3 linked regions of the Caenorhabditis elegans genome follow. The protein of the gene in region 2 purifies or fractionates together with the protein of the main gene of each other region. This does not show direct contact. Each region holds a gene or a part of one and is shown on either strand. Other genes may lie near its edges. The genes, in order: F49E10.4, ZK228.3 and nhr-112.

Region 1 (3,755 bases), on a different chromosome or scaffold from region 2:
ATTATACATCCTGTTTTCCATCACAAGAAAAAACGAACCTAATTAATCCTGACGAGCAATTAACAAGCCCGTGGCATCCTAGACTCTCTAAACATGTTTTCAACTGATTTCTATCTTCGCGAGCTCTTTTCACCAAATCGGGACACTGCCTTCCGACAATCGACATCAAAGTGGCAATACATGGTTGAAACTCCTGAAACGAACCCTATTCTAATATTTTTCCATGTTCATTTTTGTTGGGAGGATGCATACGCCGTCACAAAAACGTTATTTGATTATCTTCTCTCGGCTCCTCGACAAGTGAGCAATTCCGCCGTGAAAAATAGCAAAAATGCATTTTGCGCAGTCTTACGCGACGTGTTTTTGCTGCTGTTTTCTGGAAAAAGCGCTCGCGAACACGAACAACTATTTGCATTTTAAACAAAAAAAAACATTCAAAAGGAGAATCCGAAACACATTTCGTTAGGACGAAAAATGACGAGAAAGCTTACTGCAAACATGGCACAGTGTTTTTTAAGTGATGAATTGCTTTGCTCACAGAATGCTGTCCACCAGACCAATTGGCAGAATAGTTGCTCACAACACAATTCCTTTGTCGGCAGAATTAGCCCATCTTCCACCGTTCGCTGAAATTTGGTACATGAAATGTTTATTGCAGACATTGTATAATTTCTAAATGTACCAAGTTTTCCTTATTAGTCAGACTGTTGATATTGTTAAAAGCTGCTCATGTTGTGCTTAAATGTCCAAATGCTTGGTTAAGCTTTTAAATACACTTTTGAAATTTTTATGAACAGTCAAAATGTGGCGAAATCTCACTTTTTACCAATTATAATATTGGTAATCTACCAAAAATAAATTTCCTACGAGTTTTAAAATATAATTGTGTTTTGATTGATTGAAATAAATCATTCAAAGGATTCAAACCTACAGCAACGCCTGAAATTTCACAAAAAGTTCAATTTTTTGCTTTTGACAAATTGGCACCAATATTGTTCACAAAAAATTTGACCGAAAATTTTTTTAAGTCTAAGCATTTGAAGTATTAGGTTTTTATTTAAAAACTGAATTCGTACAAATATGCATAATGCGACTCCCAAGTTAAATTTTTATTACTGACTCCCTCACCAATTCACATTTCAAATAAATCGCTTCCAGCAGTGGCAATGTGTACGGAATCTCCGAGACGAGTTGTTCAACCGGTGGCAAAATGTTGAAAAGAACGGACAAGTCATCGGTGTTCTGTGCCTGCAAGTATAGTGACGTGCTGCTTTGAACCTGTGAAATACATCTAAGCCGTTCGTTCCGACACCGACGTAAGCTTGCGTGCGACTGAGTTTGCATTACTGATTATTTCGCACGCACCGGGATAGTAGTGCCCGCCGAGCAAATGATCAAAAAGTGATGATCAGCTAGGGTTAATTTGATTAGGTGATTAGGAATTGAATGTCAAATAAACTTCATGAAAAGATTCTCTTCCTGATTATTCAGGTTTTTCTACTTACTTGCTCTCGCAGATGATTCAAGAGCTGGACATCTAGCGGTTCCACTTGGCAAGTGTATTGAATCAAATTAAGTTCCTGTCGTGGTGGTTTAAAACTCCATCCAGCTGATTTGCTGGTTTTGTGCGCCATGCATAAAGAATTTGGTTTGCAGCTCCCTTTCTATTGTTTTCATTGTTAGGTTTTTTGGAACAAGTGTGTGAAAAATGACGTTGAAAAAGAGCGGCACATTGATGAATCGCGAACAAAAAAAGCAACAAAAAACAACAGACAATGAAAAAGGAGACCGCTCAAGTGTGTGCAAGAAAAAAAATGCAATTAATTACTTCTCAAGTGATGGTGGAAAGGGAAAAGAGAACATCAAATGTGTGAATGATATCAACATACTTACAAAGGGATTACTGTAAAGGATGCTTGAACTGGAAGAGAAAATAATAGGATATATATTTTCTCACCTAGAGGAGAACGGCGTATTCTCTACTTCACCATAATTATACAGACAATTCGTAAGTGGTGGTCATCTGAAGAACTATGACTTTCACCAACGGTGAAAACGGGAAGAATTGGGAAAAGATGCGTGAATGGAAGGCAGTACTTCAGAAAGAATATAAACAAAGTTTTGCAGATTTTATCTGTGCTCCAGAATTAGTTTCTCGGAAAGGGTTGGAGCAGAGTTTTTAAAATGAGTGAGGTATGCAGAGCTAATAAAATATGACATTACATATGTGATACACCAAATACTACCTCATATAAGACCATCAGTTTTTTAGAATTCAGAGAAAGGAAAAATTCTGGTAGATGCTAGATGATCCTAACATCAATGATATGCGGAATGGCACTGTACATCTAACGACAACAACAAAAAAAGAAGCATCTCAGAATATCCGGTGGCTGTGAGAAAATGGTTGGCCGGCAGCAGCCGGATAAACATGTCGTCGACAATTTTGCGTTCCCCTTGAAAGCGGGGAGACGCGCGTTTTTTGAAACTTGATACGGCAATTAGAGGTGCCAATAATGAGATACTGTAGCTGAGGCTGCCCGTCGTCGCGCCTGTCAGGATTTGTTTGTATTGTTGCGTCTGGGAAGCCAGAAGCTTGGCAGGCAAATGACTGCAACATGGACACACACACAGAGAGGAGGCGCTGCCGTACGGAGGGAGAGAGGAAAAAATGGTTGATGAAGGCGGCAAAAAGGATGGTGGAAGCAAAAAAAAGGCGGGGCGCCATCCGTACTGGCGTACTGACACGTGTTACATGGCAGGACCTTGTACACTTTGTATTCTCGTTTACTACGTCTTTTGTCCGTTTTGACTAGAAATCAAATCGGACGCGAAATTCTCACACAACAAAAGGTGCCCCCGTTGAAGGTGTTGCTGAATGGCGCGGGATAGGATCAAGCAGTCAACGGAAGCAGAAATAGAAATAGTGAGAAATGGGAAGAAAAGTTATTGTGTTGTACGCGTGTTTCGATTTTTCTTTTGAGTCTACTACAGCCCCCCCCCCCCCCCCCCCCCCCCCCACACGTTTTGTCCTTTCGATAGTAATTTCAACGAGGTCAGTGGTGTTGAGCGGAACGAGGTCAGTGGTGTTGAGCGGGGGTATGAATATGAGTATTTCTTGGTTGAAAGAAGCTTTCTTGATGTTGGTTTTAATTGAATTACCCTCCACACCCCCACTGATATCTGTTTGTTCTCGCTTTTCTTAGAAAAATACAAGAATAGAAATGAAAGCAGAAAACGTTTTTTAGGCTGAGGGCATGATAAAATGTTTAATATTCTTATCTTACTTTTTTGATATTTTTAAAATCATATTTACATATTTACATTTTAAAATCATATTTCTATAGATATTGAAGTAAGTTTCTTTATAATGTTCATTTAAAAAAATTGCACATTTTTCAAACTCAAAATGTCATTAAATAAAAAATATTATAAACAATCTTATTCAAAAAACTAATCAAAATTTTATTTATAAAAATTTGATATTAACTAGATAAACACAATGAGATTTTTTTTCTTATTTTCCTATACATTAAAATAAAACCACAATTATTCACATTCTCAAAAAGTAATTATAATAAGCGGACATATGACTTTCACTTTAAACTTCAGTTGACAATAGCTGGATAAAGAAATTTGCCATTACAAGCAATTACAAGCGGTTGCCCAAAATATGTAAAGTGATATGATGATTTCAATAACCATTTCCAACTAGTATATTTAACCTTTTCAGAAATACACACTGATATTCTCAG
Region 2 (3,755 bases):
GCATTTTAACAATGTTATAAAATTTGAAATTTTGGAAAAAATTCTAAAACTTAAAAAAAAAAAAAAAAAAAATTAAAAAAAAAAAATTTTTAGAGTCCCGCCAGGAAAAGTCTTGGGGTACTGTAATTTTTCATGATTTGTTTCAAAATGTTTTTGAATTTAGTTTAGAAATGTATTTTGTACAATTTGTATGTCAATTTAGCTTATAGATTGTATTTTGAGCAATGTTATAGTTTTTGAAATAATAATAATATATAACAATGTTATAGTTTTTGAAAAAAAAGAGTTTTGGAAAAATTTATAAAATTTTTCTAAAAAATTTTGAAGTCCCGCCAGGAAAAGTCTTGGGGTACTGTAGTTTTTGATGGTTTTACTAATATTTTTTTAGACTAATGTTAATTAATGTATGTTTTGCAAACTGTATTAAAAATTAGCTTAATTGCTATATTTCAAAGGAAGTTATGAATTTTTGAAGATAACAAAAAAATTTCCTTAAAATTTTTTTGGATTTTTTTCCGAAAATTCAACAAATTCTGGGGCTCATTTTTTCCAGATTCATTTTAAATATTTTCTGCCCGAAACTCACTCTAGTATAAACCTGATCCTGTTGAAACCAGTTTCTCATGAGTTTCTTGCGATTTCGGGTGCAAATTGTTAGGTCATAGGCTTCTAGCTGAGCTTCACCCACCTCTTTCCAGTCCTGAAAACTTGTTAATTTTAGAATTAGAGCCCTATTGGGTTAAAATTTGAATTGAGCAGATTTTTCTGATCAGTTTGAGTATAACTGTGATGACAATTTTGAAAATTCGAAAAATTAAAGAAAAAAATTAAATGAAAATTTTTTTGAAAAAATTTTTCCAAATTTTTAAAACTTTTTTTTCAATTTTTTGGTTTTTTAATTACCCAAACAATTACGTTCTTACTCAATTTTCATACCTTTGTAACATATTTCTCCGTCAAATCCGCTGAAATTCTCATTTTTCCCGGCTCAATTTCTGCTTCCATATGCCAAAACGGGAGCATTTCCTTGAATCCAAAAGTGGTGGCGTACTTTTCAGACATGTCCACTGCTGAAAATCTATATGAATGTAAGAGGAAACTGTGAAAATCAGAAAATTAGAAAAGTTTTAAAAAATTCGAAAAAAAAAAAAAAAAAAAATATCAAGATTTTTTTTCCAAAAATTAACAAAATTATACTCATTGTGACCGTCTCAATTTTTTGATTTAAAATTTTCAATTAAATAGCTAAAATTGACCCACCAGCTGTCAGAACGCAATTTCCGTCCCCCACAATACCCATCATCGCCTTGAAAACCGGCAATCCGTGTCCTTTCCCACGATATTCTTCCTTACAGTAATACAGACCAATTGAGTAGAGTGAAGCCTCATTTTCAGCATCCCACCGTGCCAAACACCCGCCAGCAACAAAGTTTTCATGGGGTTCTGAAAAAATTTTTGGGGAAATTTCAAGTTTTCCGCAGTTTCCTAGTTTAAAATTGGTGTTATCCTATTACTCTCACCGAAAAAAAATATTTTGCCCGTAGTGGGGGTCGAACCCATGACCCTTACACTGTAGCCATTCATGTTAGCCACTGCGCCAGCGCAGACAGCTAGAGTGTCTCGTTTCTCTGCGCTCTCTCGAAATTTCAAAATTATCAGAAATACGTCATGATTATACTTAAAATTACCGGGAAAACCTGCTGAATTGGAATTTTATAGTTGAAAATCAAAATGGCGAGAAATAAAAAATTTCCAATTTTTTTAAATTTTTTAAAATTTGTTATGTTTTTAAACTCACTTTTCTCCTTATCAACAACTGCAATAAACCAATATTCATCAAAATTTTCCGAATAAAATCGATAATCATATGGTTGATGAGCCCAGCCATTGAGCTCCCCAGATAAGTTGATAAGTTGGTCGAAAACTTGTTGCGGTGGGTTTATTACTAATTCCATTGTGGTGAAAATTCTGAAATATTATAAAAAGTGATACGAAATATGAGAAAAAAAAACGAAAAAAAGATGTTAGAAAATTTTCAATTTTTTTTTATTTTCGAAAAATTCAAAAATTTGTATTCTAATTTTTGCAAAAAATTTAAAATTTCAAAATAAATGAAAAAACAAATAAAAATCGTTGAAAACTACAAAAAAGTGATCATTAGACTCAATTTGCCCTTATCAGTCTCACAATCAGAAAAAAAAAATCATCGAAAAGATCTAATACAATGATAAGATTTTATGTGATCGGTGACCTTTGACCAACTGATAAAAAATGCTATAGACAGAAGAAACATAGAAAAAGTAAAAAAAAATTGCGGGAAAAAAGTGCAAAGATTCAGTGATGATATTTTGAACTTTACACACTATTGCAATGATCAGAGAGATTGTGCAATTTTTCGTGATTTTCATTTTATCAGTGATGCAATGTGCCTTTTTCTCATAGAAATCTCATTATTATACCTTACAAAAATTACTTTAATATCCCTACTTATCACGGAGATATAGGAGTTTTAAGTTTGCGGGCTCAAATTTGAAAGTTTTGGAAAAATGGGTCGCGTTAGCTCAGGTGGGTAGAGGGATGGCGTCGGGGCAGAGGTCCGGGGTTCGAGTCCCCGGTGGGGTATTTAATTTTTGTTAGGAGCTGCGAGTTTATTCAACAAAAAAGTTTTGATCAGAAGTTGGAAATTTAGGTATTTTTCACCAAAAAATTCTGAACATGAGCAAATAATTTGCTCCAATGTTTCCAGATCAGAAAATCAACCCAAATTTCAGATTCTCCATGAAATTTTAATGCTTAAACACCCAGCATACCACTAGTTTTCTCAAATTTAAAAATGGGTCGAAGTGGCTCAGGTGGGTAGAGGGATGACTATGGGGAAATGGGTCCGGGGTTCGAGTCCCCGAGAGGTAAATAGTTTTTGTTCGGTTTTTTTTTTGAACTTGTTTAGTGTAAAATTTCGGAAAATTCTAGATAGTTTTGTTTTTTTTTGAAATTTTATTTTTTATTTTTCAACCTTTTCAGTATTAGCTACTTTTTTTTCACTTTGGGCTTAATTTATCAGTTCAAACACTAAGGTTTCGCTAAGATTACCCAATTTTCGATCACTATTGCACAATATTATCACACTCTCATCGGATATAAAGTCATTCGATTTCCAAACTTTTTTAGCAGTTTTTCCAATTTTTCTCGTGCTTTTTTCTACAATAAAGTGACGGTATAAAAATCAAATCACTAATTTTCTTATCATTAGTGATAATAAGGGGAAATTCATTGAAACAATTGCCATTTTGGTCGGGGGGAAAATGATGAAATTTTCAGTTTTTTTGCGATAAAAGCTACGAGTGTAGTAGTTTTATGCACATTATTGGCAATTATTGAAATTTTAAGAATTATTGATTTTTTTTTCAAAATTTCAAAAAATCGTTTTTTTTTTCGAAAATTCCTAAAATAGTCAATTTTCATCCGTTTTTGCTCATTTTTTCTGTATTTTTCATCATTATTTTTTCTAATTTTCAGTTTTTTCCACTAGTTTTTTATAATGGAGTTAGTGATAAACCCACCGCAACAAGTTTTCGACCAGCTCATCGACTTGGCCGCAGAAACTAACGGCTGGGCTCATCAAGCGTATGATTATCGATTTTATTCTACGAGTTATGATGGATATTGGTTTGTTACGGTTATTGATAAAGAAAAGGGTAAAGTTTAAATAAGAATTTGGAATTTTGTAAAAAAAAATTTTTTTTGGGAATTTTGAA
Region 3 (3,755 bases), 1.7 Mb from region 2:
GAACTTTTTTCCTGCAAAAGACAATTTTTGATCGCTATTTTACTTTTAACTCTTTTTTTTTAGTCTAAAAAGTCACCTGTGGAAAATTTCTAAATTTTTTTAAATCTCAGACTCTTTTGTACTAGTTTATGGTATTAATTGTTTTTTTTTTTCGTTTTTTTTCTTCATATTTTAAATTAGAATTTGAAAAAGTATTTTTCAAAAAACTTGACTGGAAATTCAGAACTGATTTTTATTCAAATACTTTTAAAGTAATGCTAATTTTTGTTTTTTTGAATACTTTCCGGGAATTAAATTTTTAACTGGAAATTCAAATTTTAGGGTTTCAAAAAATCTGGCCAGAAATTAAAATTATTATTTCCAAAAAGTTTTTGCCTGTACATTCAAATTTAGATTTATCAAAAAAAAAACCATTGGCGGGAAATTCGATTCTTTTCAAAAAAAATGTATGAAGTTCATATTTAAAAATTTTTCGAAAAAAATTTTTGTACGAAACTCAACTTTTAATTTTCCAGAACATTTCGGCTGGAAATTCAATTTTTTTTTCTAAAAATTTTCGCGAAATTTTCATTTTTATTTTATTTTAACTTTCTGCAGAATTTCAAATTAAACACTGTTTCCAGAAGGTTTTAGCAGAAAGTTAAAAAAAATAATTTTTCCAAAATACTAACAAAATAAAATTAAAATTGTTCAATATTTTTGAACTTCAATATTTCAAAATTTCGGCGGTAAATTCAATTTTCAATTATCAGAAAATTCTGTATTATTTTGCAAAATTCTAGAAAATTCTAAAAGTATCCTAAAGTGTTTCAGAATGTTCTGAAATTTTTTAAATGTCCATACTCACACTTATTTTTTGTCAATTTTGCACGCCACCAGCAACCTCTTGTCGTTTTTCCTGCAAAAGTACCTGCGGTATTTTTTCACCTTTTTCATAGATAAAAACGGTTTAAAAGTGCACCACTTTTTTCTAAAATTACTATGTTCCTTTTTATATTGATTGCTTTATTTGATTATGTGTATGTGTTCTATTGGTATTTCATTTCTTACACGATTAACTAATCGTATCAAAATAAATAAATAAATAAATACATTTTTGAATGATTAATTTCATTCCTCAATTTCGTAATATTGCATTGCACGGTGACCATTAAAACACAAGTGCAACTAAACAAATAACGACAAAAAAAGCACCGAAAATGCACTGACTCATCATGCCCCGACAGACGACACGTTGGCAACGCATTTGTAGACTTTTAAATTGGACGGGGAGTCGTACATTCATTTGATCTTTTGTTCTACATTTTTGCGGGATGTAAATATTTCGTGTTTTGCGCGGTCTTTGTCATTTTGCGGCTGCATTGTTCAGAGATCGTTGCAAATATTTCTTATGTGATTTTGTAGACCGAAAATTAAAAAAAAAACTGTTGCTATAGAACAATTAATTAGGAAGGGCATACCTACCGTATTTTTACTATTAAGTATGAACTCATTACCGCCGAAACCGGGCATTTACAAATTTTTTCGTAAAAATCTGAAATCAGCGTCGGATTCAGCATCCTAAAAATCCTATGGAACTACAATTTCGGTCAAAACCATCAAAAATTGGGAGAAAAATGGCTTACAATTAAAAAATCGAATTTTTTTCTTGTTTCCTCCGAATTTTTGAACTATCTAGATGAGATTGAAGTAACATTTTTTCTTACGCTGAATCCGATATAAATATTAGTTTTCCACAAAAAATTCAGACATGTCCTAAAATTCTAGAACGAATGAGGGATCCCGCATACCGGCCGGCCTTTGCCATCACAGCTCGAGGAGCTTGTGCAGTTTGTTGTAAAATCAAAGGCTTGGTGTTAGCACTGCTTAGTGCGATTGGTGTAATTTATCAACGTCCGACACTTTCGGAGTTCCGCGCCACACTATACAGAGGACGCCGGCTCCTAAACCCAAGCCCTGCGTTTGTCCCACAAGTCCCTTGAGATAAGCGGGTGATATGTCCTCGATCAATGTCGGCTGCGCATTTACTATAAGATCTTTAAAGACTCGTTGCTCAGAATTATGCTAACATTGGCAAATATTCCTTGTTTTGCTCAACGATCTCTTCTCTGAGATGCATTTGCAATCCTAATCCGATCAACTTTCAGAGCACTTCTCTCTCAAAATGTGCAAAATCTGCGGATCTTCAGAATCTGAGCCCCACTTTGGCGGGACTTCATGTCGGTGAGAGACTTTTCCCGTAAGCCCAAAAACTAGTCAGAATTTTTCAGAGCCTGCGCTGCATTTTTCCGCAGATTCTATCACTCGAAAAAGCTCGGCTTAAAATGTACATGTAAAACCAGGCAGTCAAATGCTCATCCGTGCCGAAGTTGCAGGATCCGAAAGTGTTATGAAGCTGGGATGACGCCGGAGAGTAGGTTTTGAAGATTTATAGTTATGCTTTAGTTTTTTAACTACTCGAATTTCAGAGATCCAACTAACCAGGGACAAGCATTTGAACAGAACTATAAAACTGGAAGGCCCATGCTCCTCGTTAGATGTAGGATTTAAAGCTTAAAAGCGGCCCGAAGAATGTACTTATTTTTAGACTCCGATAACTTCCCGCCAAACACCAAACTTATATTGTGTTCTATCAAACTGGCACGAGTTGAAAATGACTAGAGAAGAAATGAACAGTGGATCTCTCAATAATTGCAATATTTTCGAACTCACTAGTTTTGTGCTAAGAGATCTTGAATTGACGTGGCGGATGGTTAGCAAGGCCTTCCCAACTGTAGAAGTACTTGAGGACAGGGATAGAGTAGGTTTGACTTTGAAGTTCTTCGCTCTAAAAACTGGAATTCCAGCAAGCTCTGTTACGGAACTTTGTGCCAAAATTATGGCAGATTGAGCCAATCCTCGAGTACCGGGAGTGTGCTGAAAAGTTCGATAATCTGGAGGAAGAGGATTATGAAAATTTGCTGGTTGGGTTTTATGGTGGAACATTTCCAGAAGGGAAGGAAATGTCTAAATCTGAAATTGTTAGGTAAACCTTCAAAAAATGTCGGCCATTAAATGCGAAAAGTTTCCAGTAACTTCCGGCCATACTGGGATTACTACTACACAAAAATGATTCTTCCGATTTCGTCAATGGGGCTCGAAGAGCTTGAATATATGGCTATCGTTTGGCTGGCGTTCTTTGATAATGGTAAGGAAAAAATCGGAAAGTTATGAAGGTTCTGAAAATGATCGGAACGTTCTGAAAATCGCTAGAGGTGTAAAAACAACTTTGGGATTAGCCAACGGATTTTCTGGATGGTTTTATAAATGTCTAAAAAAATTCTGAAAAGATCTAGGAACTTCTGGAAAGACTTGGGAAGTTCCAGAGGCTTCTGGACACTTGTACAAATTTCTGGAAAGTTTACAACTCATGTAAAAAGTTCTTAAAACTTTTGAATTTCTCTGAAAATTTCTGGCATGCTTAGAAAAATTGAAAAAAAAAACTGATTTTTGGAAATTTTTGAGAAACGACTTCTAATTGTTCAAAATAAGTGTTAAAAAATAAATCAAAATTCATATTTCCTCAACTAGGATAACTTTAAAAATTTCCAGGCTACTCAAACATATCTGACAATTGCCTCGAAATGTGTAGGGATATCCAGAAAGTGATACTCAAGGAGTTGCGAAACTATCAAATCGATAGGAACTTTCATGAAAATCGTTTTTTCGTTGCCTTAGAGGCTTTGCAAATCATTGAAAGAGGAGAGAAGAAATTC

Evidence for each region.
Region 1: the proteins of ZK228.3 (region 2) and F49E10.4 fractionate together in Caenorhabditis elegans (co-fractionation; one large-scale study listed by BioGRID). This does not show direct contact.
Region 3: the proteins of ZK228.3 (region 2) and nhr-112 fractionate together in Caenorhabditis elegans (co-fractionation; one large-scale study listed by BioGRID). This does not show direct contact.

Annotation. Positions count from the first base shown.
Region 1 is NC_003284.9:5,873,777-5,877,531, reverse strand, and holds the start of F49E10.4 (Mitochondria-eating protein), read right to left. Parts: upstream 1,666-3,755; 5' UTR 1,635-1,665; coding exon 1,506-1,634; intron 1,437-1,505; exon of another isoform or gene 1,309-1,436; intron 1,249-1,308; coding exon 1,129-1,248; intron 627-1,128; coding exon 492-626; intron 194-491; coding exon 39-193; intron 1-38.
Region 2 is NC_003283.11:18,459,277-18,463,031, forward strand, and holds the start of ZK228.3 (YitH/HolE acetyltransferase (GNAT) domain-containing protein), read right to left. Parts: upstream 1,975-3,755; 5' UTR 1,956-1,974; coding exon 1,799-1,955; intron 1,444-1,798; coding exon 1,261-1,443; intron 1,071-1,260; coding exon 937-1,070; intron 701-936; coding exon 587-700; intron 1-586. Other genes in the region: ZK228.4 (N-acetyltransferase domain-containing protein), read left to right, coding at 3,539-3,695.
Region 3 is NC_003283.11:16,722,237-16,725,991, reverse strand, and holds the start of nhr-112 (Nuclear receptor domain-containing protein), read left to right. Parts: upstream 1-2,147; 5' UTR 2,148-2,164; coding exon 2,165-2,223; intron 2,224-2,270; coding exon 2,271-2,413; intron 2,414-2,468; coding exon 2,469-2,539; intron 2,540-2,587; coding exon 2,588-2,800; intron 2,801-2,846; coding exon 2,847-3,025; intron 3,026-3,071; coding exon 3,072-3,187; intron 3,188-3,591; coding exon 3,592-3,755.